Macaca mulatta: one gene and its partners. The protein of the gene in region 4 binds, or shares a complex with, the protein of the main gene of each other region. Links are inferred from orthologs where the notes say so. Each region holds a gene or a part of one and is shown on either strand. Other genes may lie near its edges.

Evidence for each region.
Region 1: MED24 (region 4) and MED7 share a complex: the UniProt entries of both Homo sapiens proteins name them as parts of the mediator complex. The link is inferred for Macaca mulatta from reciprocal best matches to the Homo sapiens genes MED24 and MED7.
Region 2: MED24 (region 4) and MED31 share a complex: the UniProt entries of both Homo sapiens proteins name them as parts of the mediator complex. The link is inferred for Macaca mulatta from reciprocal best matches to the Homo sapiens genes MED24 and MED31.
Region 3: MED24 (region 4) and MED21 share a complex: the UniProt entries of both Homo sapiens proteins name them as parts of the mediator complex. The link is inferred for Macaca mulatta from reciprocal best matches to the Homo sapiens genes MED24 and MED21.
Region 5: MED24 (region 4) and MED25 share a complex: the UniProt entries of both Homo sapiens proteins name them as parts of the mediator complex. The link is inferred for Macaca mulatta from reciprocal best matches to the Homo sapiens genes MED24 and MED25.
Region 6: MED24 (region 4) and MED8 share a complex: the UniProt entries of both Homo sapiens proteins name them as parts of the mediator complex. The link is inferred for Macaca mulatta from reciprocal best matches to the Homo sapiens genes MED24 and MED8.
Region 7: MED24 (region 4) and MED13L share a complex: the UniProt entries of both Homo sapiens proteins name them as parts of the mediator complex. The link is inferred for Macaca mulatta from reciprocal best matches to the Homo sapiens genes MED24 and MED13L.

What each region holds. Positions count from the first base shown.
Region 1 is NC_133411.1:166,007,764-166,011,761, forward strand, and holds the start of MED7 (mediator of RNA polymerase II transcription subunit 7), read right to left. Parts: upstream 2,801-3,998; 5' UTR 2,742-2,800; intron 1-2,741. UniProt on the Homo sapiens protein: Component of the Mediator complex, a coactivator involved in the regulated transcription of nearly all RNA polymerase II-dependent genes.
Region 2 is NC_133421.1:8,131,825-8,136,124, reverse strand, and holds the start of MED31 (mediator of RNA polymerase II transcription subunit 31), read left to right. Parts: upstream 1-1,500; 5' UTR 1,501-1,600; coding exon 1,601-1,628; intron 1,629-2,414; coding exon 2,415-2,492; intron 2,493-2,772; coding exon 2,773-2,869; intron 2,870-4,300. Other genes in the region: C16H17orf100 (uncharacterized protein C17orf100 homolog), read right to left, coding at 839-1,216. UniProt on the Homo sapiens protein: Component of the Mediator complex, a coactivator involved in the regulated transcription of nearly all RNA polymerase II-dependent genes.
Region 3 is NC_133416.1:29,388,715-29,392,773, reverse strand, and holds the start of MED21 (mediator of RNA polymerase II transcription subunit 21), read right to left. Parts: upstream 2,801-4,059; 5' UTR 2,768-2,800; coding exon 2,726-2,767; intron 1-2,725. UniProt on the Homo sapiens protein: Component of the Mediator complex, a coactivator involved in the regulated transcription of nearly all RNA polymerase II-dependent genes.
Region 4 is NC_133421.1:64,372,116-64,375,363, reverse strand, and holds the end of MED24 (mediator of RNA polymerase II transcription subunit 24), read left to right. Parts: intron 1-527; exon of another isoform or gene 528-660; intron 661-1,509; coding exon 1,510-1,590; intron 1,591-1,917; coding exon 1,918-2,066; intron 2,067-2,202; coding exon 2,203-2,319; 3' UTR 2,320-2,748; downstream 2,749-3,248. UniProt on the Homo sapiens protein: Component of the Mediator complex, a coactivator involved in the regulated transcription of nearly all RNA polymerase II-dependent genes.
Region 5 is NC_133424.1:62,282,513-62,286,493, forward strand, and holds the start of MED25 (mediator of RNA polymerase II transcription subunit 25), read left to right. Parts: upstream 1-1,181; 5' UTR 1,182-1,234; coding exon 1,235-1,368; intron 1,369-1,412; exon of another isoform or gene 1,413-1,462; coding exon 1,463-1,508; intron 1,509-2,927; coding exon 2,928-3,052; coding exon of another isoform or gene 3,053-3,074; intron 3,075-3,623; exon of another isoform or gene 3,624-3,721; intron 3,722-3,981. UniProt on the Homo sapiens protein: Component of the Mediator complex, a coactivator involved in the regulated transcription of nearly all RNA polymerase II-dependent genes.
Region 6 is NC_133406.1:196,876,032-196,880,231, reverse strand, and holds the start of MED8 (mediator of RNA polymerase II transcription subunit 8), read right to left. Parts: upstream 2,801-4,200; 5' UTR 2,797-2,800; intron 1-2,796. UniProt on the Homo sapiens protein: Component of the Mediator complex, a coactivator involved in the regulated transcription of nearly all RNA polymerase II-dependent genes.
Region 7 is NC_133416.1:123,210,902-123,214,401, forward strand, and holds part of MED13L (mediator of RNA polymerase II transcription subunit 13-like), read right to left. Parts: intron 1,814-3,500; coding exon 1,681-1,813; 3' UTR 1-1,680. UniProt on the Homo sapiens protein: Component of the Mediator complex, a coactivator involved in the regulated transcription of nearly all RNA polymerase II-dependent genes.

The DNA of each region.
Region 1 (3,998 bases), on a different chromosome or scaffold from region 4:
CTACTCCTCCATAACCAAACTACACGTTGTCTCCCAATCTCATATCAGAATCACTTTTGCTTTATGTTACAGATTGATTTCCAATAGCAAACACTTACTTGTATCTCTCATAAACACTGACAAAATTAACACTGCTAAATCCTAAAGACATGGTATTATCCAAAGTTCCTGAATGAAATGATTCAGTTCCATATCCTTTTTGTCACAGTAAACTATGCAATTTTATATGGACACATTAACTTTTTTTTTTTTTTTTTTTTTTTTGAGACGGAGTCTTGCTCTGATGCCCAGGCTGGAGTGCAGTGGTGCGATCTCAGCTCACTGCAACCTCCGCCTCCTGGGCTCAAGCAATTCTCCTGCCTCAGCCTCCCAAGTAGCTGGGATTACAGGCGCACACCACCATGCCCGGCTAATTTTTGTATTTTTAGTAGAGACAGGATTTCGCCATGTTGGCCAAATTGGTCTCTTAATTCCCCACCTCAGGTGATCCGCCCACCCTGGCCTCCCAAAGTGCTGGGATTACAGGTGTGAGCCACCGCGCCCGGCCTGTATGGACACATTAACTTCCCTACAACTATCACAGAAATTTCAAACCCCAGGTTCAAACCCAGTATCTTCTATGGCCATAATAACCTCTACTTACTCTACCTTAAGCCTAGATATACCATCCAATGAGAAGATTCTGAAGTGCTCCTTTACACTGGTATTATCAAAGTTTCAAGATATAACACCCTCTAACATCAGGTGGGGCAAGTATTCTATTAGAAGCAATATTATACTTAGAATTCGTGAGGTACTAAGGGCAGGCGTGGTGCAGCCCTGAGTTTCCACCATGCCACAGTAGTGCATAGGATGATGCAGCCTCGACCTCCCAGGCTCAAGCCATCCTCCCACCTCAACCTCCCAAGCAGCTGGGAGTACGAGGCAAATGTCACCACGCCCAGCTAATTTTTGTATATTTTGTAGAGACAGAGTTTTGCCATGTTACTCCGGCTGGTTTTGAACTCCTGAGGTCAAGCAATCCTCCTGCCTTGGCCTCCCAAAGTGCTGGGACTACAGGTGTGAGCCACCACTCCCAGCCAACATTTTAAAACTTATAACATAAATTCAGATTACAGAAAAAGTGCATGAATATACAAAGAACACTTCATATTCTTCACTCAGATTCTCCAAATGTTAACATTTTCCTTCATTTGCTTTATTGGTTTCTCATTCCTTCACCCCTGAATACTTCAATGTGTTTTCCCAGGACAAGAATGTTTTCTTCTACCCACAGCACAATTACCAAAATCAAGGAATTAACATTGATCTGGTACTTCAAAACACAGTTTTTGACACCTTACGTTTCATTCCACTCAAACCTTTTTAGGTGAGGAGTGCTGCTCTGTACTTTCCTACACGATGTGCATTCCTGTACTTAGGTTGTCATTTTCCTAAGGCAACTACGTGACAGATACTGTTGTTTTATGGCCTCTCTAACATAATCTTCATAACAATTCTATGAATTAAGGTTGTTTGTTTTGTTTTTTGAGACAAGGTCTCAATCTGTCTCCCACGCTGGAGGGCAGTGGTATGATCAGGGCTCACCGCAACCTCTGCCTCCCGGGTTCAAGGGATTCACCTGCATGACCCTCCTGAGTAGCTAGGGACTACAAGTGTGTGCCACCACGCCCAGCTAATTTTTTATTTCTCGGTAAAGACAGGTTTTCACCATGTTGGCCAGGCTGGTCTGGAACTCCCGACCTCAAGTGATCCGCCCACCTCGGCCTCCCAAAGTGCTGGGATTATAGGCGTGAGCCACCACAGAGTCCCATGAATTAAGTTCTATTATCAATTTCATTTTAGAGGTGAAGATCCCAAGTCTCAATGAGGGGAAGTGTTGCCCCAGATCAAAAAGTTAATAAATGGTACAACAGGAATTCTTATCCCAGGTCCCTTTAGCTCCAAAGGGCAAGCTCTCTTATATCTCTAAGCCGTGAAGCATCTAATTGTACAATTAGAACTTGCATATTACAAAAATTATATTTTTCTCTACTGTCTCTCTAGATGGAACTTTTCAAAGGCGATGGAAGTCTTATTTTAATAAAACCAGAGCCAAGCATCATAACTGGTTCTTAGACTCAAGATCCAACATCTAGTGTTTGTTCTGGGGGAGAAGGCGCCTCACCAGAAGACGACAGATATTCCAGGGTCCCAGCCCCAGAGATTTGATTCATTCTGTCCACTGTGAATGGGCCCTGGTATGTCGCTTTAAAAACCTCTCCAGATGGACCTGACGATTAGGCTTGGTTGGGATCTACTGCCCTCGCCTGCCCCCGTATCTCAGCTGTTTCACAACTGCTCCCAGAAGAAGGAAGGGCAGGGAGGGCTACTCTCATGTTACAAAGGGCCAGAAAGGGCAAATAACTCGCCCAAGGCGACACAGCCTAGAAAAACAGCGGCGAGGGGACTAGACACCACGTCTCCCAACCTCCACTCCGGCTCGGCGTCCCCACACGGAGGAAGCCCTGGGACTGCAGCGCTAAGAGCCCCCTCCTCCAGGCTGTCCATCCCGAGACCTCCACGAGCGGCGGGGAGGCCGCGCTCTCGGAGAGACTCGGGACAGAAAGACGAGAGAGCGTCTTCGGAGGCCGAACTCCTCCATGCCTCCCCAGTTCCCAGCCCAGCACAGAGGAAACCGCGGGGTCCGGAAGAAAAAAACGCACACACGCGGGAGCCCCAAGCCGTTGCCGCCCACTCACCTCAACTCTGGCTTTACACTGGTAGCCGCCTTCCCCCTCTGCAGCCGAAACCAATTTCCGGTCTCCTCCTGGAAGAAGCCACCGACTCTGTCTTTGATTGGCTGTAGGAGCTGTCCTTTAACGAGATTCTAGATCCGCCTCAGACCGATCGCTCGCTATTGCGCCTGCGTATATTCGACTCCTGCCATCGCCACCCCTTTCACTGACTTTTAAAAGTAGTAGGTGAGGGTTGTTTCTTCGTTTCTTTAAGGCATAAAATTAAACAAGACATCTTATTGCTTTATTTTTTATAGACCCCTTATTGACTAGAAAAAATCTTATATTTTGCCGGGCGCGGTGGCTCAAGCCTGTAATCCCAGCACTTTGGGAGGCCGAGATGGGCGGATCACGAGGTCAGGAGATCGAGACCATCCTGGCTAACACGGTGAAACCCCGTCTCTACTAAAAAAAAAATACAAAAAACTAGCCGGGCGAGGTGGCGAGCGCCTGTAGTCCCAGCTACTTGGGAGGCTGAGGCCGGAGAATGGCGTGAACCCGGGAGGCGGAGCTTGCAGTGAGCTGAGATCCGGCCACTGCACTCCAGCCTGGGCAATAGAGCGAGACTCCGTCTCAAAAAAAAAAAAAAAAATCTTATATTTTAATATGTAACATGCTCTTGTAAGACTTCCATGAATTTAGACATTTATGACGTGAAAATAACCTCCCAAAGAAAACCTAGCAAAGGTTGTTCGTGTGTTCCACCCGCTGCCCGCATTACAACTCTTCTGCTGACAGTCGCAGCTGGTAGTTCCATTCCTTTTGTCTTTTCTTTTTTAATTGAACCCATACAATGAAGACATCTTACATAAAAATTCGAAAATATAGATATGCAGGGTTTTTTGTTGGTTTATTTTGTTTTATTTATTTATTTATTTTCTTTGAGACGGAGTGTCTTTCGCCCAGGCTGGAGTGCAGTGGCGCGATTTCGGCTCGCTGCAACCTCTGTCTCCGGGGTTCAAGCGATTCGCGTGCCTCAGCCTCCCAAGTAGCTGGGATTACAGGCATGTGCCACCACACCCGGCTAATTTTTTTTTTTTTTTTCCTTTTTTTGTATTTTTAGTAGAGACAGGGTTTCACCATGTTGGTGAGGCTGGTCTCGAGCTCCTGACCTACAGTGATCCGCCCGCCTTGGCCACCCAAAGTGCTGGAATTACGGGCGTGAACCACGTAGCCCGGCCTCCCCCATTTTAATTCCCCCGCACATATAAATTTATTTCC
Region 2 (4,300 bases), about 56 Mb from region 4:
GAGCATGTTTAAGGTAGGCTAGGCTAAGCTATGATGTTTAGTAGGTTAGGGATATTAAGTGCCTTTTCAAATTACCGTATTTTCAACTTACAATAGTTTTAATGGGAGGTAACCCCATTGTAAGTGGAGGAACATCTAGTACCTGGCACAGAGCAGGTTCTCAATAAATATGACTCTTCTCCATCTTCTTCAAACCTCAGACCAGGTTTCAATGGCCTCCTCTCACTTTCTCTTCTAAGATTATTTTTGCTTGCTGGTGGGTTTACTGTCATTTTTAACTACATCTAACCTACCTTTAAAAAGTGTATGGATGGGAGTGCCAGGTACAAAGACTTAGCATAAAGAAAACCACCAGTTACCTTGAAACATAAACAAAGGCCATTAATAATTTATGAGTCTGTTCCTTGCCCCTCAAGTTTCTAGCAGGCATGGAATCATTCCACAGGTCATGATTTCAGTTTGGTCTCTGTTCCTAAGGGGTGAAGGTCTTCTGAGGGCTGTGGATCCCAAACTCACCTGGCTCAGAGGCTCAAACAGCCTCTTTGTCCATCAAGCCAATTTAGACAGCATCCTGGGCATGAAAATCTTTTGTGCTGGCTTCAAGTGAAAATAGTTCACTGGGTCAAAAGTAGGCTGGTCCAAGACGCAGGATGGTCAATAAACGTTGGCTGTGTTCAGAAACTGCGGCTTGGCTGTTTCTTCCATTGATTTATGGTTTGTTTCCATGAAACCGAAAATGATTGGTCCACCTGGCAGCTGGCTGGCTGGCTGGCAACTGGAGGCCTTTCTGTCCTGGCTGAGGGCCCTGGCCCCTTGGTGGCCTTTGGGAAGCAGCATCTCATCGGGCCGGTTTTTCGTTCTGGCGGGCGGCCGGCTTGGCCCGCGGGGCTGGGCTCTCCGCGCAGTGCAGAGCCGTCTCCACCCTCAGGGACGAGGCCCTGATGTGGCGGGACGTCGTTTCCGTGCGCTGCGAGGAGGATTCCACGTGCCGGGAGGACGCCTCGAGGATGCCAGGGAGCCGCTTCCCCAAGGGGGAGAGGGAGGGCCCCTCGCTGCGGCGCTGGGAGGTCTCCACCCGCCGGGACGACGTCTCCACGCGGTGGGACGAGGTCTCCACACGGTGGGACGAGGTCTCCACGCGGACTGTGGACGTCTCTGTGTAGCGGGTGGTCCCCACCCGGGGAGAAGACTGCTTGGCCCCTCGGGCTGAGGCCATTCTGCCGGCGTGAGGGGGCCAAGGAGGCCTCGGGGCACCCCCCAGCCCAACGGTCACCGCAGGCAGAAGAGAGGAAAACTACGGTACTGCCATAGCCGGGAGCGCCACAACACGATGACGTGGAAACACCATGATCCTTCCAAGGCTAAAAACACTGGGCTCCTGCCCCTCAGGCGCTCCCACGGCCCGGGCCCCGCCCCCTCGCTATTTTGGAGCCAGCGCGGGTGGAGCCATCCCAGGGCTGGCGGGATGGGCGGAGCCGCCCGGCCCCATATCCCACAGTGCCCCGGGACCGGAAGAGAGAGCCGTGGTTTCCGGAACTTCCCCCGCCACTCTGGGCTTTTGCTCGGTCAGGCTGGTGGCGTTTTGGTGTCTTCGTTTGTTATGGCCGCTGCCGTCGCTATGGAGACAGGTGAGTAGCTCTCTGATCTTGGAGTCTTCGCAGATGGAACTCCCCTCGGTCCAGACGGCTTCCCCGTGGCCTCCTTCCAGGCCTTACTCTCGGCAGGGTTAATATTTGGACAAGGAGGTGAGAAGGCTCTTGTAGCGTCTAGAAAGACTAAGGTACTCTTTGCAGTTTTCCTAATTTGGTTTGTTCGCACATCTTTGCTATTCAGACACCACCCTACCAGCTCCCCGGCGTGGGTGAGACTAAGGGAGAGGACTTGTGTGTTAAACCGTCTCCTCCTTGATTGGTTTTCTGCTTCTCACATGAGCTTGCCTAAGTTTGAAATATCGTCGCCGGACTTTATGTGTCATTCTGCTACTGGTGCTTCTTATATGCATACGCTCCATGATCTTTTAGGCTCTGCGCAGTCTCTTGCATCCTAACTTTTTCTTAACTGATTCAGCACGTAGCTTTTGCAAAACTTAATCACTGTTAACAATTGTTATAACGCATTATTAACATAGGGGAAGCCATAGTTGTTACAGCCTACCTTAGTGATCTTAGGAATTCTCCGTTTGTGTTGCTGCTTTCTTTGATGATTTCTCTTTAATTTTAGAGAAACTTCTAACTCCTTTTAATCAGGGCTCCGCTTTTCTTAGATTTCGAAGAAAGGTTTATCTCCCCCAACTCCCAGTTTAGGAAGACCATCTCGGCATTAGTCAGGTTTCTTTATTGCTGTTTCCTTACTACAAATCAGTATTATATACAGTGACCCTTACTTTCCATGATTTTTGCTGTCTTGTCTCCTAGATGATGCTGGAAATCGACTTCGGTTTCAGTTGGAGTTGGAATTTGTGCAATGTTTAGCCAACCCAAATTACCTTAATTGTAAGTTGTTAAGCACCTCATTAAATTGAGTAGCTACTAATGATTTCTGACAGAAGAGTTGCAATTCAAAATAGTATCTACTTTTACACATTCTCAATTGAATGACATTACACTTATGCTGGTATATAGATATAATTGCGCACTGGGATTTGTGTTTTGAATTCAATGTGTGTTGGTGGTGGGGGTTTTATGTAAATAGATCCTTTACATTAGGGGTAACAAAGCATAGTTTAAAGATTGGTTTGACCTACAGACATTTTTTTTTTTTAATGCTTTTCAGTTCTTGCCCAAAGAGGTTACTTCAAAGACAAAGCTTTTGTTAATTATCTTAAATACTTGCTTTACTGGAAAGACCCAGAATATGCCAAGTATCTAAAGTAAGTTTAATTTTTATAATCCTAAGCATGTGTATACTTTATGATATGATAGATTTCTTCGTTTCACATTGGCAAAAATGTATTTGGAATCTCTCCACTTCTTTTCGTTGTCACCATCTTAACACAAGACACTCTCATCTCTAACTTGTATCACTGCAGTAATCTACTCCCTGGTTATCTCTGCTTCCACTTTTACCTTCCTGCCCCCCCCCCACCCCAAACCAAACCAAGCAAAACAGCTTTCTACACAGAAACCAACTTAGTCATTTAAAAATATAAATCAGAACACTTTACTTTCTTGCTTAGAACCTTTCCATGACTTTCCATACCATGCAGAATAAAATCCAGTCTCTTTTCTTGGGCTAAAGCCCTATATGATCTGGCCCTGCCTTGTCTGACCTTGTCTTTCACCACCCTCCCCATCTCACCAGGTTTCTGGTCCCGAAGAACTCACAGTCTGTAAATGAAGTGACATAAGCCATGGGCTGAAATTAAAAGAGGGTATCTGTAAGGAAGGTGTTTCTGGGGTTATTTGGAGGAGGTGATGTTAACCTGAGTCTTAGAGTTGCTATCTTTTATTTAAGGCCTCTTATGTGCCAGAAACAGTGCTAAATGCTTCATATGCATTAACTCATTTATATATATATATATATATATTTACCATTCAGGTCATTCAGCGACACTTTTGTGTTAAGGCTTACTGAATTGCAAGAAGCATATAACCACAAACCTATTCCCTTTTAATGATTAAAAAAAAAAAAAAAAAAACACCTTGAACTCATCCCTGCTTTGTCTTAAGCAGGTAGAAAGCAATAGTGAACCTTAAAAAAAAAAAAGTTTGAGAGGAAAATGTTTCAAACTTGTTTCGAAGTCACTTTTCTGTGTCCAATAACAATTGACTCACGAAGCATATACATCTTATATTGCCTTCAGGACCCTTTGCACCTTTTCTGGCTTTTTATCCATTTAATAATCCAAAGAAAAGACTTTTAAGAAAAATAGATTTCAACAAATGTTGTATGTATGTAGATTTACAGACTCAGTGTTGGAAGCCTTAGCCACCAACAAGTTTAATCTTACCCAAAACGTTGCCGAGAGATGGTCATCTACACTCTGGAGGTTTTCACTGAGCCCATGTTACTCTGTCAGGGACAGCTGATTTGATTGTTAGCCAGATGTTAGAAAGTTATTCCTTATATTGTGATATAATGTCTCTCCTTGTAGCTCTAGTCTGATTGTAGTGTTATCCTTCATCTATCTGCAGTCACATGAAGTCTATTTGTCCCACTACTGGTGACATTAATTTTGATAACTTGGTTGTCCCTGGATTGAGCTAGAACCATTCTATACCCTCTTGAGGACAACAACCTTCCAGATACTTACATTCAAGAGAGATTGCAGATTAGCCCCTTTTGGGCATTTTATTCAGTC
Region 3 (4,059 bases), on a different chromosome or scaffold from region 4:
GTGGCTCAAGCCTGTAATCCCAGCACTTTGGGAGGCCCAGATGGGCGGATCACGAGGTCAGGAGATCGAAACCATCCTGGCTAACACGGTGAAATCCCGTCTCTACTAAAAAATACAAAAAACTAGCCGGGCGAGGTGGCGGGCGTCTGTAGTCCCAGCTACTGGGGAGGCTGAGGCAGGAGAATGGCTGAGGCAGGCGAGTGGCGTAAACTCGGGAGGCGGAGCTTGCAGTGAGCTGAGATCCGGCCACTGCACTCCAGCCTGGGCGACACAGAGAGACTCCGTCTCAAAAAAAAAAAAAAAAAAACTTTTAAGATCCATTTAGTCAACAAAACTTTATGGAAAATAACTATGACAAGTACTACATTTAAACACTATAGAGACATAGTGAATGCGACATAGCTTCTGCACTCATGGTTTTCAGAGGGTAGAACAAATGTTAAAAGTTATACAAATCTGATTAGGATAAATGCTAAGAAGATTCCCTCTATTTTGGTTCACATCACTCCATATTCCAATTTACTTCAGAACCTAAAGCTGAAAATACTCAATTCATTATAACTCCCTAACCACATACTGTTTTTCCATCACTTAAATGTCTCCTGAGTATATGACATTTTTTTAACCTCCTTAAGGAGTATCTCTTTGCAAACATGATAGTGCTTATACACAGTAGGCACTCATACTAGTTATCCTAAAGGCTTTTCTCCAAAATCCAATTATCAGCATGCCTAACCTGGAGTTAAGGCCATATTCACTCTGTCCTTACTATCCTTCTAGTTACAAGACATGTATGAATATGCAAAAGTTTCCCTAAAATAAGATTTCTATCCAGCAGCATCATTACAATTTGATTTTGTAAAATCTCAAAGGAGTAGTTCCCTGAGGAAGGCTGACTGGCAGCTCAGGCAAGTCCCTGCAGGGCAGAATTTATCTTGGTGAATTCAACATTTAGAAGCTGGTCCTCTCAGCCTTAAAAACTAGTGTTATTCACCCAGGGTAGATCAGTTTATCACAAGTAGATTCACACTCTTCAAGTGTACAAAGCCTGATGTATTAAGAAAAATGCCAAGTTATTAGCTTACAGTGAGGAAAAAAAACTGGCAAAGAAACCAGGTACTTAGGTTTTCCTCTCAGCATGTTTTCTCTCTAGCCCCTCATCTAGGACGTTAAATCACAATCAGACAATGAGAAACATAACTATCAATGGAAAACTATTTAACAGAAAACTATGTAACTGGTAATGGTAATAAGTATACCCATTGCAGCAAGAGAATACCCACTGACGTCTTGGTCAACGGGATGCATATATTATGTCGGTCCCCTATGGTTATAACAACGCTGAAAAATTCTTACTGCCTAGTGACATCATAGCGGTCTGTGCTTGTGGTGACGCTGCTGTAAAGCAACCTACGGCACTGCCAGTGTATGAAAGTCTAGCACATACAATTAAGTACAGTCCATGATACTTGATAATGATACTAAATGACTTTGTTACTGGTTTATGTATTTACTGTTTCCTCGTTATTATACATTGTACTTCTACTTATTAAAAAAAAAAGTTATCGCCGAAACCATGCATTTCTCAGAACATAACCCCTTCATTAAGGGCCCATGACTGTATGCGCATCCTCTGGCTTTGCTTCTGCTTTCCACTCAGGCATAGCTTGGAGGAAAAATTACCAGAAGGAACAAAGCTGGGGAGCTACCTACAAGACTTGGCCTTTAATAGAGCGTAGAATTTGGGGGAGACGTTAAAAAAGACTTGTAAGCCGGGCACGGTGGCTCACACCTGTAATCCCAGCACTCTGGCAGGCCGAGGCGGGAGAATCGCTTGAGGCCGGGAGTTCGAGACCAGCCTGGGCAACATGGTGAAACCCCGTCTCTACTAAAAATAGAAAAATCAGCCGGGCGTGGTGGAGGGCGCCTGTAATCCCAGCTACTTGTTTGGCGGAGGCGGAGGGTGCAGTGAGCCGAGATGGCACCACTGTACTCCAGCCTGGGCGACAGACACAGTCTCCAAAGTAAAAAAAAAAAAAAAAAAAAAGGAAAGAAAAGAAAAAAGAAAGACTCAAATAAACGGAAAGACATACGAGAATCAGAAGATTTCCTATCATAAAGATGTCCCCAAACTGATGCATTCTGAGGGGTGGCCAAGAGACAAGAGATGGAAGGAGGCTCTGGGCCCACAGGAAGGAGCGAAGATGAAAGAAAATCTCTCACCTCAGCGTCGCTCCGCACCAACCTGAAAGCGCTGGTGAAGGAATACTCTCGGCTGGCATTTCATTACAAAAACCCAGTCATCCACAGCACGAGATCTCCCTTGGTGGATTCAAATTGATGAGGAAAGAAAAGAGCTCCTGCTTCTCCTCCCAACCCCCAAAAGAGATCCCGTAAGCACCGCTGCCAAGAAAATAAAACTGTCCTCAGGGAATACGACAGGACCGCGCAGCCGACAAGTCTTGGCGGCCCCACCCGGACAAGAGCAATCTTCCCGGTCTCCTCAAGCGAAAGAGGCTGCTCCCTCCCGCACCTTCAAGCACCGCCCGGCAGCCGGCCTCACACCTCCGAGTTCGCGGTGGCGCCTCCCGAGAGAGCGCTTTATGCCGAAGCCCTGTTTCTCAGTCCGCTTTCCACTTCCAAGTTTTGCCTCTTGGGCCCCTTTTCTCCCTTGCTTTACCTCAGGAAAGAGAAAGACAGAGGCTAATCGAATGAAATTCCTCACCGAATTCACAGCGTCTTGAAGCTGCGTGAGCCGATCCGCCATGTTCTTCCTGCAGCAAACAGACGCCAAAACAGCTGCTCTTCCGCGACTGGGCAGCTCTGGTACGCGTCATGGCCAATCCCAGCGCTGCCTTCTTGGAAGGGGTGGGGTCGGAGAGAACTCCCCGCCCCGTCAGGAGTGGGTGGTACTGCCGAGGCGGCCTTAGAGCGGGCTACACCAGAGGAGAGGCTGGATCTTTTGAGTAACTGGGGAGCGGCCTGGGGTCCATCGCTTTGAGGGGCTGAAATACTCTCTTTGAGGTTGTTAGGTGTTAAAGGCTTCAGAGATTGTTGGATTCAGCGGGGATTTTTTTTTTTTTAGTGATTTCTCCTATCCTCTCATGTGTTTACTTATTGACTACATTGAAGAGTAGATATATTTATTTATTTTGAGACGGAGTCTGGCTCTGTCGCCTAGGCTGGAGTGCAGTGGCGCGATCTTGGCTCACTGCCAGCTCCGTCTCCCGGGTTCACGCCATTGTCCTGCCTCAGCCTCCCGAGTAGCTGGGACTTTAGGCGCCGCCACCACGCCCGGCTAAATTTTTTTTTTTTTTTTTTTTTTTTTTTTTTTTGTAGTAGAGACGGGGTTTCACCATGTTAGCCAGGATGGTCTCCGTCTCCTGACCTCGTGATCCGCCCTCCTTGGCCTCCCAAAGTGCTGTGATTACAGGCATGAGCCACCGCGCCCGGCCAAGAAAAATCAGCTGCACAATTTAGATTTAGAGTTGGGACTTATTGAGAGATTAAGTGTGAAGAGTGATAATAGAAACTTGGTATTTAAGGAAATTTAGCCTGAGGATAGTCTGGTAAGAAATGAGTTTGGAGTCGGCAAATAACAGGTTTGGAGACATCAAACAAACTCTCATATCCTCTTTCTCAGGTTGATTATCCGTGATTACCTTCCTGCGGCTGCGGGGTAGGTGGTGGACACAGTCCCCGGGGAACTCAGCTTGCTGGATTTATCCCAACCCTTGCTGGGAAGCACCACTTCTGCTTCACACCCATGCCCCACCCTCATCCCCAAACAGTCTACAGACTTACTGGGGCCTCATTAAGAACGTGGATGAGGCATGCTCCCCATAATGGAACTAATGAGAAATCACTCCATAATTTGTTCTAACTGTAACTTGGGGGAATCTACAACCTTTTCCTCCCACCTTCACTTGAGCGTGTACCTTACTGAATGCCTGCCACATGCCAGGAAGTATATCCAGTGCTCAGTGTGCAAAGATGAATAAGCCAAGGACTCACCAAGAGGAAGGTTTTGCAGTTGTCCAAGATTAAGGTGAGCTGGGC
Region 4 (3,248 bases):
CTGCCCCAGCTGCAGGCATCTTTGCGGCTGGTCAGAGAGGGTGTGGAAGGGACCTGCTGTTTTAGCCCCCAGGGGGGTGCTCTGTGTCTTGCCCCTAGGGAAGAGGTTGCTGTTCCCACTCCCTGAGGGTTGAAGCTCCTCTGCCCAGGTCCAGCCCAGCCCACAGCTGTTCCCCCGAGCCCCCCTCCCGCCCCCGTCTGCAACCCTCCTGCCCCCTCCCTTACCCCAGGGTTGAGGGGATGACAAGCTACCCAAGTGAGTTCACCGCCTCAGGCACAGCCTGTGCCATTGACTCACCAGCTCTGACCTTCCTTCCTTCCCCCAACATGCCTGGAGAGGCCCGGGCTGGAACTTGGGACTACTCCCCACCTTCCTGCCTAAAGAGCACACCCCCCCACCCCTCTCTTCCCTGGAGGGCATCCTTCTCACTGTCCTCTCCTCCCTGCCAAACTTACTGCAAAGGGCTCCTTCTGTGGCATTTTTCCTGTTTCCAGAGATTTCTCCTGAGCCTGAACTTTTCTCTGAAGGCTTTTAGGGACTAGGGGACCGATTATACACTTGATCAGAAGAAAAATGCTCCAGCTGCAAGCGCTGTGACCTTTAGTGACTGAGCCAGCCCCCATCTGGGTCTCCTCATCTGTAAATGGGGTGTTGTGAGGAGTAAGTGGCCTAGGAAGTACCAAGATCGGCCCCTGGCGCTGTGTGCTCGCCACACGTTAGTTTTTCTCTCTCATCTCCGTTGGGATCTCTCTGTATCCGAGGCCCCTCTGTGCCTTTGTTGTTGTTGTTTTTTGAGTTGGAGTCTCCCTCTCTTGCCCAGAGGGAGTGCAGTGACGTGATCTTGGCTCACTGCAACCTCCGCCTCCTGGGTTAAGCAGTTTTTCTGTCTGAGCCTCCTGAGTCGCTGGGACTACAGGCGCCTGCCACAACGCCCGGCTAATTTTTGTATTTTAGTAGAGATGGGCTTTCGCCATATTAGTCAGGCTGGTCTCAAACTCCTGAACTCAGGTGATCTACCCGCCTTGGCCTCCCAGAGTGCTAGGATTACAGGCATGAACCCCCGCGCTCAGCCTGTTTTTTTGAGACAGGGTTTTGCTCTGTTGCTCATGCTGGAGTGCAGTGGCACCATCTCGGCTCACTGCAGCCTTGTTCTCCTGGGCTCAAGCAGTCTGCCTCAGCCTCCCAAGGAGCTGGGACTACAGGCTTTGGCACCATGCCCAGCTAATTTTTGTATTTTTTGTAGAGATGGGGTCTCGCTAGTTGCCAAGGTTGGTCTTGAACTCCTGGGCTTAAGCAGTCCTCCTGCCTTGGCCTCCCAAAGTGCTGGAATTACAGGTGTGAGCCCCTGCACCCAGCCTCCCTCTGTGCTCTTGATCTCAGGGTCTTCTCTGGGCTTTCCATGTACCAGTTACCTCCGATGGGTGAAGGTCAGGTGGGGGTATCCCCAGGGAGCGCCGCTTTTGCACTCGGCAGGCTGTTCCCCAGCGCTCTGTCTGCTCTGTCCCACAGCAGACCGGTCCATGAGCAGCTCCCTCTCAGCCTCTCAGCTCCACACCGTCAACATGCGGGACCCTCTGAACCGAGTCCTGGGTAAGTTCCCCACCCGTGCTGCTGAACCTGGGGTTAAGCTGGACGAGTCCCTCTCCTCATGGAGGCTGGGCGACCTTGTCATCTGGAAGGGGCCTCATGGCGCCCCTCCCTTCTCCCTCCATGCTCCTCATTGCTGGCTGTCCTGGCTCCCAGGCTCCTGTCTAGTTCCCCCCCTCCCCTCCCCGGTTGCCTTTTATATTTTCTCTCTCTGACACCCCGTTTTGGGGACATGCTCAGCATGTATTTCTTTTCCCTTTTCAGTCCCGCCTTCTCCCAGAGTGTGACCTCACCCCCTCTCATGGAACTCCCTCCTGTCACTCTCCACAGCCAACCTCTTCCTGCTCATCTCCTCCATCCTGGGGTCGCGCACCGCTGGGCCCCACACCCAGTTCGTGCAGTGGTTCATGGAGGAGTGTGTGGACTGCCTGGAGCAGGGTGGCCGCGGCAGTGTCCTGCAGTTCATGCCCTTCACCACCGTGAGTACCACCTTCCTGGCTCTCCCGCTGGTGCTGGGGCCTTGGTGCAGCCCTTGGAGCAGGGAGGGGCCTCCTTCCCCTGGGACAGCACGCCCACCACCAGCCATCCAGCAAGCAGCATCTCTGTCTGTGGCAGGTGTCGGAACTGGTGAAGGTGTCAGCCATGTCCAGCCCCAAGGTGGTTCTGGCCATCACGGACCTCAGCCTGCCCCTGGGCCGCCAGGTGGCTGCTAAAGCCATTGCTGCACTCTGAGGAGCTTGGCATGGCCGCAGTGGGGGCTGGGGGCTGGGGACTGGCACAGCCCCAGGTGCCTCCAAGGGAAGCAGTGAGGAAAGATGAGGCATCGTGGCTCACATCCGCTCCACATGGTGCAAGAGCCTCTGGCAGCTTCTAATTCCCCGCTTCTGACTCCTGACCTCCAGGATGTCTCCTGGTTTCCTCTTTTGAAATTTCTTCTCTGTCTGCCAGCACCTGAGGAGTGTGAGCAGCCTGGACCACAAGCCCAGTGGTCACCCCTGTGTGCGCCCGCCCCAGCCCAGGGGTAATCTTACTTCTGAGGAACTTTCTAGACGCAGAGAGTGTGTGTGTGTGTGTGTGTGTGTGTGTGTGTGTGTGTATATATTTTGTAATATGTGAGGGAAATCTACCTTTGTTCATGTGTAAATAAAGCTCCTCGTGGATCCCTTTGCGACTGTGGGTGCTGTTGGTATCAGTGTCACCCGGGGCGGGGCACAGTGCTCTCTCCCTGGACTGCCTGTGCTGTGGCCGGGGAAAGCGCACTCCTGTGGTGAGGAGGAGGAGGAAGAGGTGCAGAGGTGGCAGGGCTTAGGGTCCTATGTGGACTTGCTCAGCTGAGGAAGGGCCAGGGGAAAGCAGCTTCCCTTCCTTGGAGCCAAGTTGGCCGGCCTGCTGCCCCTCCCGCAAAGCCAGCTGTACCCTGAAAGGGGAGAGGCTTTGGCTCAGGGCCCCACAGTGCTGGGGCAGGGTGGCCTGCTCTGCTTTCTCCCGAACCTGGCCCAACCCTACCCACACTCTGACTAGCCTGGGATTTGGTCTGTTGCCTCCAAAAAAGGACTGGGGGATGGGAGGCGGGGGGATGAGGGCCGGACCTTTCTTTAACCCTTCCTTGCCTGCCTCACACGTCTCCGAGCCTGGCAGTGGACACTTCTGACCCTGCTTTC
Region 5 (3,981 bases), on a different chromosome or scaffold from region 4:
TAATGCAGTGTTTCTATTTTTCTATATTATTCATCAATAAGATTTGTGTAGCACATTTCTGTCAACAAACACGTTAGATTATTCCAGTTGGTAGTGTATTTTTCAACTTGGTTTATGCAGTCTTTTGGGAAAAATTAATAAAGACTACGTTTTCTGACTTTGCTGTAGTGCTAAGAAACTCAATGGCAGTCATTAAGATTTTTTTCCTTCAGATAGTTTTCGAGTTTCATTTGTCGCACTTACATTTTTAATCTACCTGGAATGTATTTATGTTCTAGGCCAGTTTCTGGCTCCTCTCCCGGAAAACAACGCTCAGGTGTTGCTAAGCAACCCACACTTGGGTTGGTATTCGGCTTCTTTTCAGGGGGAAAACAACTGCCCTCCCTTCCAAGTTGAGGACGACCTTAAAGCGTTGCCTAGTAACCTCGTTTCCGCCGATGTGATTGGATCCTTCTCGCCTCCCTCCCCCAGTCCGCCCGCCCAAAAGAACAGAATCAGAAACTTAATCTAACGGTTAGAAAACAAGGGCAGAGGTCCCGGCGCTGTGGCTCAGGACTGTAATCTTAGCACTTTGGGAATCCAAGGCGGGCGAATCACTTGAGGTCAGGAGTTCGAGAACAGCCTGGCCCACATGGTGAAACCCTTTCTCTACTAAAAATACAAAAATTAGCGGAGCCTGGTGGCGGGCACCTGTAATCCCAGCTACTCGGAAGGCTGAGGCAGGAGAATCGCTTGAACCCGGGAGGCGGAGGTTGTAGTGAGCCGAGATCGCGCCACTGCACTTCAGCCTGGGCGACAGGGCGAGACTCCCCTTTCGAAAACAAAGGAAACAAAACACAAAAACGAAAACAAGGGCAGCGTACGCGTTGCATAGCAACCAGGTCTCCCGCCCCTCCCTTTGAGACAAGAGGCGGACCCAGACGCCCCGCTCAAAGATGGCGGCTGACTGAGCCGCTTTCAATTTATTTCGCTCTTGAGAATCCTGACAAGAATTCCGTCGAACCCATCAGGCCCCTAAAAGGGCTAACTATGCCCTTTCTGAGTTTTCCACGCGGTGGAGGCGAAGGAGGATGGAGCTAGAACGAAGCCTCAGCGCGTGCCCCGCACAAACATGGCCGCATTCCCAGCGTCCCTAAACCGCCCGGCGCGGGTGCGCGCGCAGCGCAGGCGCATTTCCGCTCATTCCGCGGTGTCGGCTGCGGCGGCTGTGGCGGTGGCGGCTACCGCACGGGGTATGGTCCCCGGGTCCGAGGGCCCGGCCCGCGCCGGGGGCCTGGTGGCCGACGTGGTGTTTGTGATTGAGGGTACGGCCAACCTGGGACCCTACTTCGAGGGACTCCGCAAGCACTACCTGCTGCCGGCCATCGAGTGAGTGCCGTTTCCGCGGCTCTAATCCCGCCCTCCCATTTCAGTTTCCACAGCTTCTTGCCTGACTCCGACCTTTCACCTCCGACCCTCACAGGTATTTTAATGGTGGTCCTCCTGCTGAGACGGACTTCGGGGGAGACGTGAGTCTTGGGACTCCTGGGTCTGAGGGAGGAGGGGCTGGGGGCCTGGACTCCTGGGTCTGAGGGAGGAGGAGTTCGGGGTCTGGACTCCTGGGTCTGAGGGAGGAGGAGTTCGGGGTCTGGACTACTGGGTCTGAGGGAGGAGGAGTTCGGGGTCTGGACTCCTGGGTCTGAGGGAGGAGGAGTTCGGGGTCTGGACTCCTGGGTCTGAGGGAGGAGGAGTTCGGGGTCTGGACTACTGGGTCTGAGGGAGGAGGAGTTCGGGGTCTGGACTCCTGGGTCTGAGGGAGGAGGAGTTCGGGGTCTGGACTACTGGGTCTGAGGGAGGAGGGGTTCGGGGTCTGGACTCCTGGGTCTGAGGGAGGAGGGGCTGGGGGCCTGGACTCCTGGGTCTGAGGGAGGAGGGGACTGGGGGTCTGGACTCCTGGGTCTGAGGGAGGAGGGGCTGGGGGCCTGGACTCCTGGGTCTGAGGGAGGAGGAGTTCGGGGTCTGGACTACTGGGTCTGAGGGAGGAGGGGTTCGGGGTCTGGACTCCTGGGTCTGAGGGAGGAGGGGCTGGGGGCCTGGACTCCTGGGTCTGAGGGAGGAGGGGCTGGGGGCCTGGACTCCTGGGTCTGAGGGAGGAGGGGTTCGGGGTCTGGACTCCTGGGTCTGAGGGAGGAGGGGCTGGGGGCCTGGACTCCTGGGTCTGAGGGAGGAGGGGTTCGGGGTCTGGACTCCTGGGTCTGAGGGAGGAGGAGGGGCCTGGACTCCTGGGTCTGAGGGAGGAGGAGGGGTCTGGACTACTGGGTCTGAGGGAGGAGGGGTTCGGGGTCTGGACTCCTGGGTCTGAGGGAGGAGGAGGGGCCTGGACTCCTGGGTCTGAGGGAGGAGGAGTTCGGGGTCTGGACTCCTGGGTCTGAGGGAGGAGGGACAGGGGTCTGGACTCCTGGGTCTGAGGGAGGAGGGGATGGGGCTGAGATTCCTGGGTCTGAGGAAGGAGGAAGTTGAGGAGTTCCTGGTTCTGGAGGAACAGGAAGCTGGGAGCCCTGATTCCTTCTCTGAGGGAAAAGAGAATGGAGATCCCAGATTAAAAGTTTTTCTGGGCCGGGCGTGGTGGCTCAAGCCTGTAATCCCAGCACTTTGGGAGGCCGAGACGGGCGGATCACGAGGTCGGGAGATCGAGACCATCCTGGCTAACACGGTGAAACCCCGTCTCTACTAAAAAATACAAAAAACTAGCCGGGCGAGGTGGTGGGCGCCTGTGGTCCCAGCTACTCGGGAGGCTGAGGCAGGAGAATGGCGTGAACCCGGGAGGCGGAGCTTGCAGTGAGCTGAGATCCGGCCACTGCGCTCCAGCCTGGGCGGCAGAGCGAGACTCCGTCTCAAAAAAAAAAAATAAAAAATAAAAAAAAAGTTTTTCTGTTCTCCCCTCCCAGTATGGAGGGACCCAGTACAGCCTCGTGGTGTTCAACACAGTGGACTGCGCTCCCGAGTCCTATGTACAATGTCACGCTCCCACCAGCAGCGCCTATGAGTTTGTCACCTGGCTCGATGGCATTAAGTGAGCTTTTCCCCCACTTAGGGTGGGTTGGGGTTCCTGTGAGGGGCCGTGAATGAGGGATGGCTTGGGTTTGAGCTGCAGGAAACATCTCATACATGAAGCGATTTAAAGGACTTTGAAGGTGATTGTGTTTTTGTCAGAAGTCACTTTTGTGGCTTCTGTGTGCTCAGCAATGTTGCCAACCAGTTTAGAAGTAGGAAAAACTTCCCATTCAGGGAGGCCTGGCTGAGCTCCAGCAGCCACCTTGTACTTCCTGTGTGATTGTCCCCTTTATGTCCTCTCTTTTTCTATTTACCCCGTTCTCCTTTTCCAGATGCGTACATTGTAGTCTCAATGCAGGGGGATGGGTCAGAGCCAGGATAGATCCCTCTGTGGCTTGAATCAGACCTTTTTTTTTTTTTCTTTGAAACAGAGTCTTGCTCTGTCTCCCAGGCTGGAGTACAGTGGCAGAGTCTTGGCTCACTGCAACCTGCACCTCCCGGGTTCAAGCGATTCTGCCTCAGCCTCCTGAGTAGCTGGGATTACAGGCACACGCCACTACACCCAGCTAATTTTTTTTTTTTTTTTTTAGTAGAGACGGGGTTTCGCTATGTTGACCAGGCTGGTCTCGAACTCCTGACCTCACGTGATCTGCCTGCCTCAGCCTCCCAAAGTGCTGGGATTACGGGGGTGAGCCACTGTTTCAGGATTGAGGAGGACGGGAGAGAGTCTTCCGCTTAAAGCAAGAGAATCTTTCATTGAGTGCACTCAGGCCCAAGCAGACTCACGTCCAAAGACGGCCTAGAACAAAGACAGCACTTGACTTTTATACACACTTCACAAAAGGGGGTGGGCTAGCTTGAAGCAAACTTACAGTGGCGTGAAAGCAGGGATACAGAGGCAGGACAAAGACAGTTAATCAAATTGTTGTAACAGGTTTATAACTCAGG
Region 6 (4,200 bases), on a different chromosome or scaffold from region 4:
AGCTAATTTGTTTGGTTTTTAACCACTGAATCTCTAATAACAAGAGTATGTTGCCAGTTCTTGATTTTTCTGTTTTGAGTATTACCTACTGACTTTCTTCAATGGAAGATGAATATTTAATACTCTGTCACACTCACCACTCCTCTACCATAGCCATGCAATCTATCCTCCAATTCTCCTAATATAGTTAGAGCAATATTGAATCTATATACCATGACCATAGAAACACTATTCATAGATACCATGATTACTAGTTTTTCACTGCATGTTTTGTTTTTCCTGAAGTCAGTAAAAGTCTTGCTTTTTACTTTCCTTAGTTTTTTGTGTATTTGTCACTAATTCAACCCTAAACTCTTCTCCAGTTGTATAAATCGTTCTCCATATATTCAGACATGTTAGATTGTCTGTCAGCTTCATTTTCTTGAAGAACTCTCTTTGGGAGCCTCTGCATGCTCTCCTTGGGTGGTTTGCTCTCTGTGTAGCCAAACATCTGTGGTCTTGAAGTCCCTGTCACCATCCTCTTGTGGTATATCTCATTTCCTGGGCCCCATATTTTTTTACTTCTTCATTTAATGGAACACATCTTGTACTAATTTCCTGAGAAAGGATACATGAGAAGTAATTTTTTGAGAACATACCTGAAAATGTCTTTATTCTGATTTCACACTTAATTGATAGTCTGGCTGCGTATGGAATTCTAGGTTGGAAATCATTTTTCCTCAGTATTTTGAGGGTACTGTCCCCATTGTATTCTAGGCTTTTGGTGTTCTGCTTGAGGAGTCTTAATGCTGTTCTGATTTTTAATTATTTATATAAAGTCTGTTTGTTGTTCTCTCTAGAAATTTGAAATTTCACGATAATGTACCTTGATGGAGAGCTATTTTCATACTGTGCTGGACACTCAGAGGACCCTTTTAAGCACAAAAAACTCAAAACCTTTAGTTCGGGGACAGCTTTATTGAGTTATTCTTTTCAGCATTTTCGCCTTTTCATTTTTTCCCCTTATTCTTTCTTTCTAGAACTCCCATATTCAGAAGTCATGTTTTCTGGACTTGTCCTTTAATCTTTTAAAAATATTTTCTTAATCGTTTTCCATCTCTATCTTTTTGTTCTATATTGTGAGAAATTTCCTTAACTTTTCCAATTCCTTTTCCAGCCCTTTTTATTTCTGCTATTATGTGTTTCATTTTCCAGGGTAACTTTTTTCTTTTTGTTCACCAAATATATTTTTTATGATATCCTCTACCTGTTTCATGAGTAAAATGTCTTCTCTCTGAGGAGTTTAATGATTTTTTTTTCCTGAGTTTTCATCCCCCTGAGTCTCTTCAGTTTTTCAATGTTGCATTTAGATTTCATTTGTTTTGGTCTCCTGTCTTTATATAAAATACTTTCCTCTAATGCCTCATGATCTTGGCTGCCTGCTCATGTTTAGAAACCGGGAATCTTGTTTTCAGTATCATCTTCATTCCCTCTACTAGTGGTACCTGATGCTGCCAGTGATTGAGTCTTTGGGGAGTTCTGTGATATATTTCACGTTCAGTTCAACTTTTCCCACTACCAGCACAGGATTCAGCTTTCCTGAGTTTGCTGACTTCCACTTGTCTACTTGGTTTCCAGTTTTGTGTCTCTTCTGTCTTTGTCCTGGGTGCTTCTGCTTTACAATGAACATGCAGTCGTTTCTGTCACTTGGGGAGATTTGAAAGGGGAGTAATCTAAATCAGGTCAGCAAACTCTGGTTCCTATGCCAGATCTATCCAAGAGCTTATTTTTGTGTGGTCTGGCTTAAAAATGATTTTTGTGTTTTTAGGCCAGGTGCAGTGGCTCATGCCTGTAATCCCAGCATTTTAGGAGACTTTGGGAGGCAGGCAGATCATTTGAGTCCAGGAATTTGAAACCAGCCTGGGCAACATGGTGAAACCCCCACTCTACTAAAAACACAAAAAATTAACCGGGCGTGGTGGCACACACCTGCAATCCCAGCTACTAGGGAGGCTGAGGCACGAGAATCACTTGAACCCAGGAGGCAGAGGTTGCAGTGAGCTGAGATCACGATGCTGCACTCCAGCCTGGGTGGCAGAGCAAGGCTGTCTCAAAAAAGAAAACAAAACAAACAAACAAACAAACAAATTTTTACATTTTTAAAGGGTTGCTGAGCAAAACAGAACAAAAGCACAGAAGGATATGTGACAGGCTATGGCCCACAACGCCTAACATATTTACTGTCCACTTACAGAGAAAGTCGTTCAGCCCCAATTGAAATCTCCTATTTCAAACTGGAAAACTAGTTCCTTCCCTCCCAATGCCCACAGCCAGTGATCACCTCCCATTTCATAGAGAAAACCAATCTACTGGACAATCTATTCCTTACTCTCCCATCCCTATACCAAACCACTGCGGTTTGCAGGTTACCCATAATACTTCATTAAGTCAAACTGCAATGAATGTCAGAGGTCATTGAAAACCTCCTTGTTAGTGAATTCAACCCCTATTTTTTCAGTCTGTATTTTACTGGCTGCTCTATGACATTTGATAACGTGTGGCTTCCATTCTCACGGAGTCAACTGAGCCTGCTCTTCCTGAGATTGCCAGTAGCATCCTAATTGCCAAACCCAGAGAATGCTTTCCACACCTTATCTTCTTCTTTCTTTTGCTACATTTAACATTATTACTGCCCATCTATTTCTGGAATATTTCTACTCCCTTATATTCTGTGATAGTATTTTCTCTTAGTCCTCACCATCCCACACCCGATCAGTTTCCCAATCCTGTCCGTTCTCCCTTTGAATTTCATCCCACCCCCCACAGCCTCATGTGAGACCCTCATCATCTGTCACCTGGCTTACCACAAAGCTCTCCTGCTAGGTCTTAGCCTCCTTGCGCTCTTTCACACTGCCACTAGAATGGTTTTTCTGAAGCAAAAATCTGTTGATATCATTGATTTTCTGAAAAATTTATAGTCTTTTTCTCTGCTCTGTCTGCTTCTACTCAATAAAATCCAAACTCCTAACTTGGTATTCAAAACCCCATCTGGTCTGCTTTTCTGCCTTATTTTCACTGTGTTTCTCCCTCTCTATATTCCTCCCCACTTATCAGTCCCCCTTTTACTTCAGCCACACTGTCATCAACAGTGATGATGCTGATGAGAAAAACACTAACAGCAGCATGTATTGAGGACGTAACTACATGCCAGGCACTGTGTTCACTGCTTAATGTTAATTTGGTCATCTAATCCTCGTGACATGGCCTTATGAGGTGGGTTCTATTAATGGTCCACCAATATGGCACATATGAACTTGAAACATCTTTAAACATTTTTTTTAAAAGGTAAGTGTCAGAATTCATTTGGCAGTAAAATCTGACCTGAAATGGTATGAATGTATTTATAGTTCCTTCTAGCGTAAAGATTCATTTCATAGAAGAAATATTAACATTTAATTACAGGATGCTGCCCCAAACCTCATAGGGGGATGTTAAATAATATATGGTTTGTGCAGTATACTGCTTTCCTAAAATCTGAACACTTTGAGATTCTAATACTATCTAGTTTGAGGGGGCTCAAATAAGAGATTTTGATCTTTGTATTACTCTTTTTACAGATGAGGAAATTAAGGCTCAGCAAGATTAAGTAGTTTGCCCAAAGTTACGTAGTGGAAAAAACAGCGGAGCCCGGATTAGCACCATGGTGGCCTGGTTCAAACGCATACCTTGTCTGCTGTGCTGCACAGGTCCATGCCACCTGCAGGTCCCTGCCCTCGACCTCTTCTGGGTTGCTGGCTTTCTGCTTTCCCTGTTCTTCCAGTGCTCAGCCCTGGCTGACTTCCCTTCCATTCCTATTCACCCAGGCTGGCTTCTTTCAGTAGCAGCCTCCATGCCTTTACCCCCTTGTCCTCCTGAAAATGTCCCACTGATACCAAGCTCTGACCAGGTCTGCCCATCTGTCTCTGATTGGGCGGTCTTTCATTTGAGACTCGATAGAAAGGCGAACCACACTCCTCTCCCAGTTTCAGACTGTGCCCTATTTAGTACTTGGCAATATTGCCTTTTCCATTTCCTTTATCAGCTTCCTTTCCTGTTTCTAGAGCAGCTGTACTAAAACTTTTCCTATACCCCTGAGCTCCAAAGCTTATCCATACCATCTTACTCTCAGTTTCAGCAGCACATGCCTAGTTCCATTTTCATTCCACCTGCTTGAGTCGTACA
Region 7 (3,500 bases), on a different chromosome or scaffold from region 4:
TATTTTTAAAGTCAATTTTACACTGTACACATTAGATACAAATGGTTTGATATATCAGATTTTTTATCCTATACATTGCGAAAGTCAACCCCCCTTCAACTGGTGGTACAGAGAAGAAAATTATCCATTTACAAGTTATTTCTCTGCTTTCACATTCCCACCACACAACTTTTTTTTTAATATAATGTTTTAAACTTTAGATTATTTCAAGAAAAATACTTTTACAAAATCATATCAATTATTACATTTTTCCTTTTTTGTTAATAACCAGGACATGGAAGTCTCTTGGAAGAACTTTTAAAATTTGCATGATTCTCTCCACAGATGACAAGAGCTCAAAGGCCTGGTCACAGTGGCTCCCGGGAGGCCAGTACACACCCACTGCCCTCAGACAGAAACACACAACACAAGGGTTAGAAACAGGGTTTCAAAGACAACCCTCTGGGCCAGGAATGAGGAGTCATAAAATACTTCAATTAGCCATTAATGCTTTAAAAAGGCATTTTTTAAAAAGTCCCACCACAAAGGCTCAACTTCAAGTACTAATTTAATGGTTAAGTTGTAATATTTCTTTGAAATAATATTCCTATGGTCCAGAAAAAATTCACCATATTTATAACTGATTTCATGAGCAAACACTTTCAATTGTTGTATGTACATAAGTCCCTTTTGATCTAATGAGAGGAGAGACCTGGCTTTCGGTAAGAATTCACTAGAAAATATATTTCCGTTGTGACTATATAAAACTAATTAAGGTACTTGCCTCCATGGCTCTGAGTTGAGCTTGACTGCCTTCTGTATAAAAATGTTATCCTTCATGAAATGCTGGCCACTTAACATGGCAGAACTTTTAAAACTCAGTTTGTTGTTAACAAAACCTACTGCTGGGTGGTTTTGAATATATTACTTTTAGGCATGATCTCCCCAATGTGTTTTTACTCCTTTTCCGGCTTCTAGGACAGAGGTATGTAGTCAAAGAATCCTATGGTGGATCTGAATTGGGTTTCAGCTACTGTACCTGGTCCTCGTGAATTAAAAAAACAAAGTCACAAAAACCGTATGACAAAACAAATTAAAATAAATAAACAAAATGAAGCTGTCTCCAGACCTTCTGCATCCACACACAGGTGTGAAGTCTGCCGAAGCACTCACGCCAATCTGGATGGGAGCACTAGGGAGACAGGAACCCCAGTATGAAACCATGTACTTGAGCTGGTTCTTATTTTTAAAAAGTCCCAGATTATGGAGTTCAGGTAACCCACAGGCCATACACCAGTAACTAGAGGATTTCATCCAAAGGGCTAGACTGCCCTCAATTGTATACAGAGGCTGAAAACACAGACTCTTGTGCAAAAGGACACTGTCTCTTCTGTTTCCCGCTGAAAAGCCACCAACCACCACCACTTCCGGGGACCAGTGGTTGGGGGCTACATACACCACCGCACTGGCTGAAAGTCACCACGTATGGAAGTTTCCAGGTCCATGAGAGAAGTGTCAAGGAGTCACTCTGGTAATGAACACTGCAGAATTGACATGTGCCTGCTGAGAAGGAATCACAGTGCAGGACTGTGGAGAGTGTCTGAAGAAAAGGATGTGGGTTATTTGCAGAGTGTAGCAGGTTCCTTGGACTGAGGTTGCAGGGAGAAGGAACTGAGCCAGAGAGAACAAGTGCTTTTCCAATTAAAGTATATTCATGATGGCATTGTACAACTGAGTGAGCACCACAAAGTGGACGGGAAGGCAGGAAGTACGGTCCTGGGTGGCCGGATTGCACGTGAGCCAGGACAGAGCGTTGTACTGCTCCAAAACAAACCTGCCAAAGAGAACACACAGAGCAGGGGCATGAGCCTCAAGAGGGGCAGGCTGGTTCTCAGATTCTAACACATTCCAGATCTTAGCGGGAAGGAGGTCTCAAAGGCATCCTTTAACCTGCCCCAGGCTCTTTCCCTCATCCTTGTCTCATGTTCTTCCTTCCTTCTAGACATGGACTATCCAGTACAGTAGCCACCAGCCACACATGGCCACCGAGCTCTGCCAGTGAGGCCAGTCAGAACTTGTGTGGACTGCAGGTAAAAGGAGGCACTGGAGCCCAAACACTTAGAGGCCAGGTGCAGTGGCTCACGCCTGTAATCCCAGCAACTTTGGGAGGCCGAGGTCGGTGGATCACCTGAGGTCAGGAGTTCAAGACCAGGTGGCCAACATGGTGAAACCCCGTCTTTATTAAAAATACAAAAATTAGTCAGGCGTGGTGGTGCATGCCTGTAATCCCAGCTACTTGGGAGGCTGAGGCAGGAGAATCGCTTGAGCCTGTAGGCGGAGGTTGCAGTGAGATCATGCCACTGCACTCTAGCCTGGGTGACAGAACAGGACTCCATCTCCAAAAAAAAGAAAAAGAAAAAAAGAAAAGTATGTAAATATTTCATGAATATTTTTATATTGGTACATGTTGAAATAACACTTTGAATATATTGAGTTAAATAAAATATATTATTAAAATTCATCAGTTTCTTTTTACTATTTTAATGTGGCTAGTAGAAAATTAGATTTGAGGTTCACATTATATTTCTATTGGGCAGTGTTCCTCTAGGGCAGCAGTCTCCAACCTTTTTTGGCACCAGGGACCGGTTTTGTGGAAGACAATTTTTCCACGTGGTGGGGAATGGTTTCAGGATGAAACTATTCCACCTTAAATCATCAGGCATTAAGAGTCTCATAAGGAGTGCACAACCTAGATCCTTTGCATGTGCGGTTCACAATAGGGTTTGTGCCCCTATGAGAATCTAATGCCGTTGCCTGACAGGAGGCAGAGCACAGGTTGTAATGCTCGCTCGCCTGCCACTTACCGCACGCTGTGCGGCCTGGTTCTTAACAAGGCATGGACAGGGGTTGGGGACCCTTGCTCTAGGGGGCCTGGAAGCCAAATTTATGTTGATCAGGTTATTTTTATCCATAACTATAATTATACATTAATCTATAATGTACAGTTTCTTATCATTTCCTAACCATTTAAGAGTTATAAAACATTAGAAAAGGCCTGTATCTTTTCTCAAGGTAGATGAAGAATGTCTGTGGTTTGATTAATACCCATTTCTGGGATGCATTTCCCTACTATGTCATTTATGTTCTAGTTCATTAAAAAAAAAAACATAATCGGTAGCTCACGTCTGTAATCCCAACACTTTGGGAGGCTGAGGTGGGTGGATCATGAGGTCAGCAGATCGAGACCATCCTGGCTAACACGGTGAAACCCTGTCTCTACTAAAAATACAAAAAAAAGCTGTCACCCAGGCTGAGGCAGGAGAATGGCATGAACCTGGGAGGCAGAGCTTGCAGTGAGCTGAGATCGCGCCACTGCACTCCAGCCTGGGTGACAGAGCGAGACTCCGTCTCAAAAAAAAAAAAAAAAGAAAAGAAAAAAAAGAAAAAAGAAACAGGAAGCATAAAAAGTATTTTCAATGTGAGGTGCTTTAAAAGTTCCAGATACTGTCTTCTAACTATCC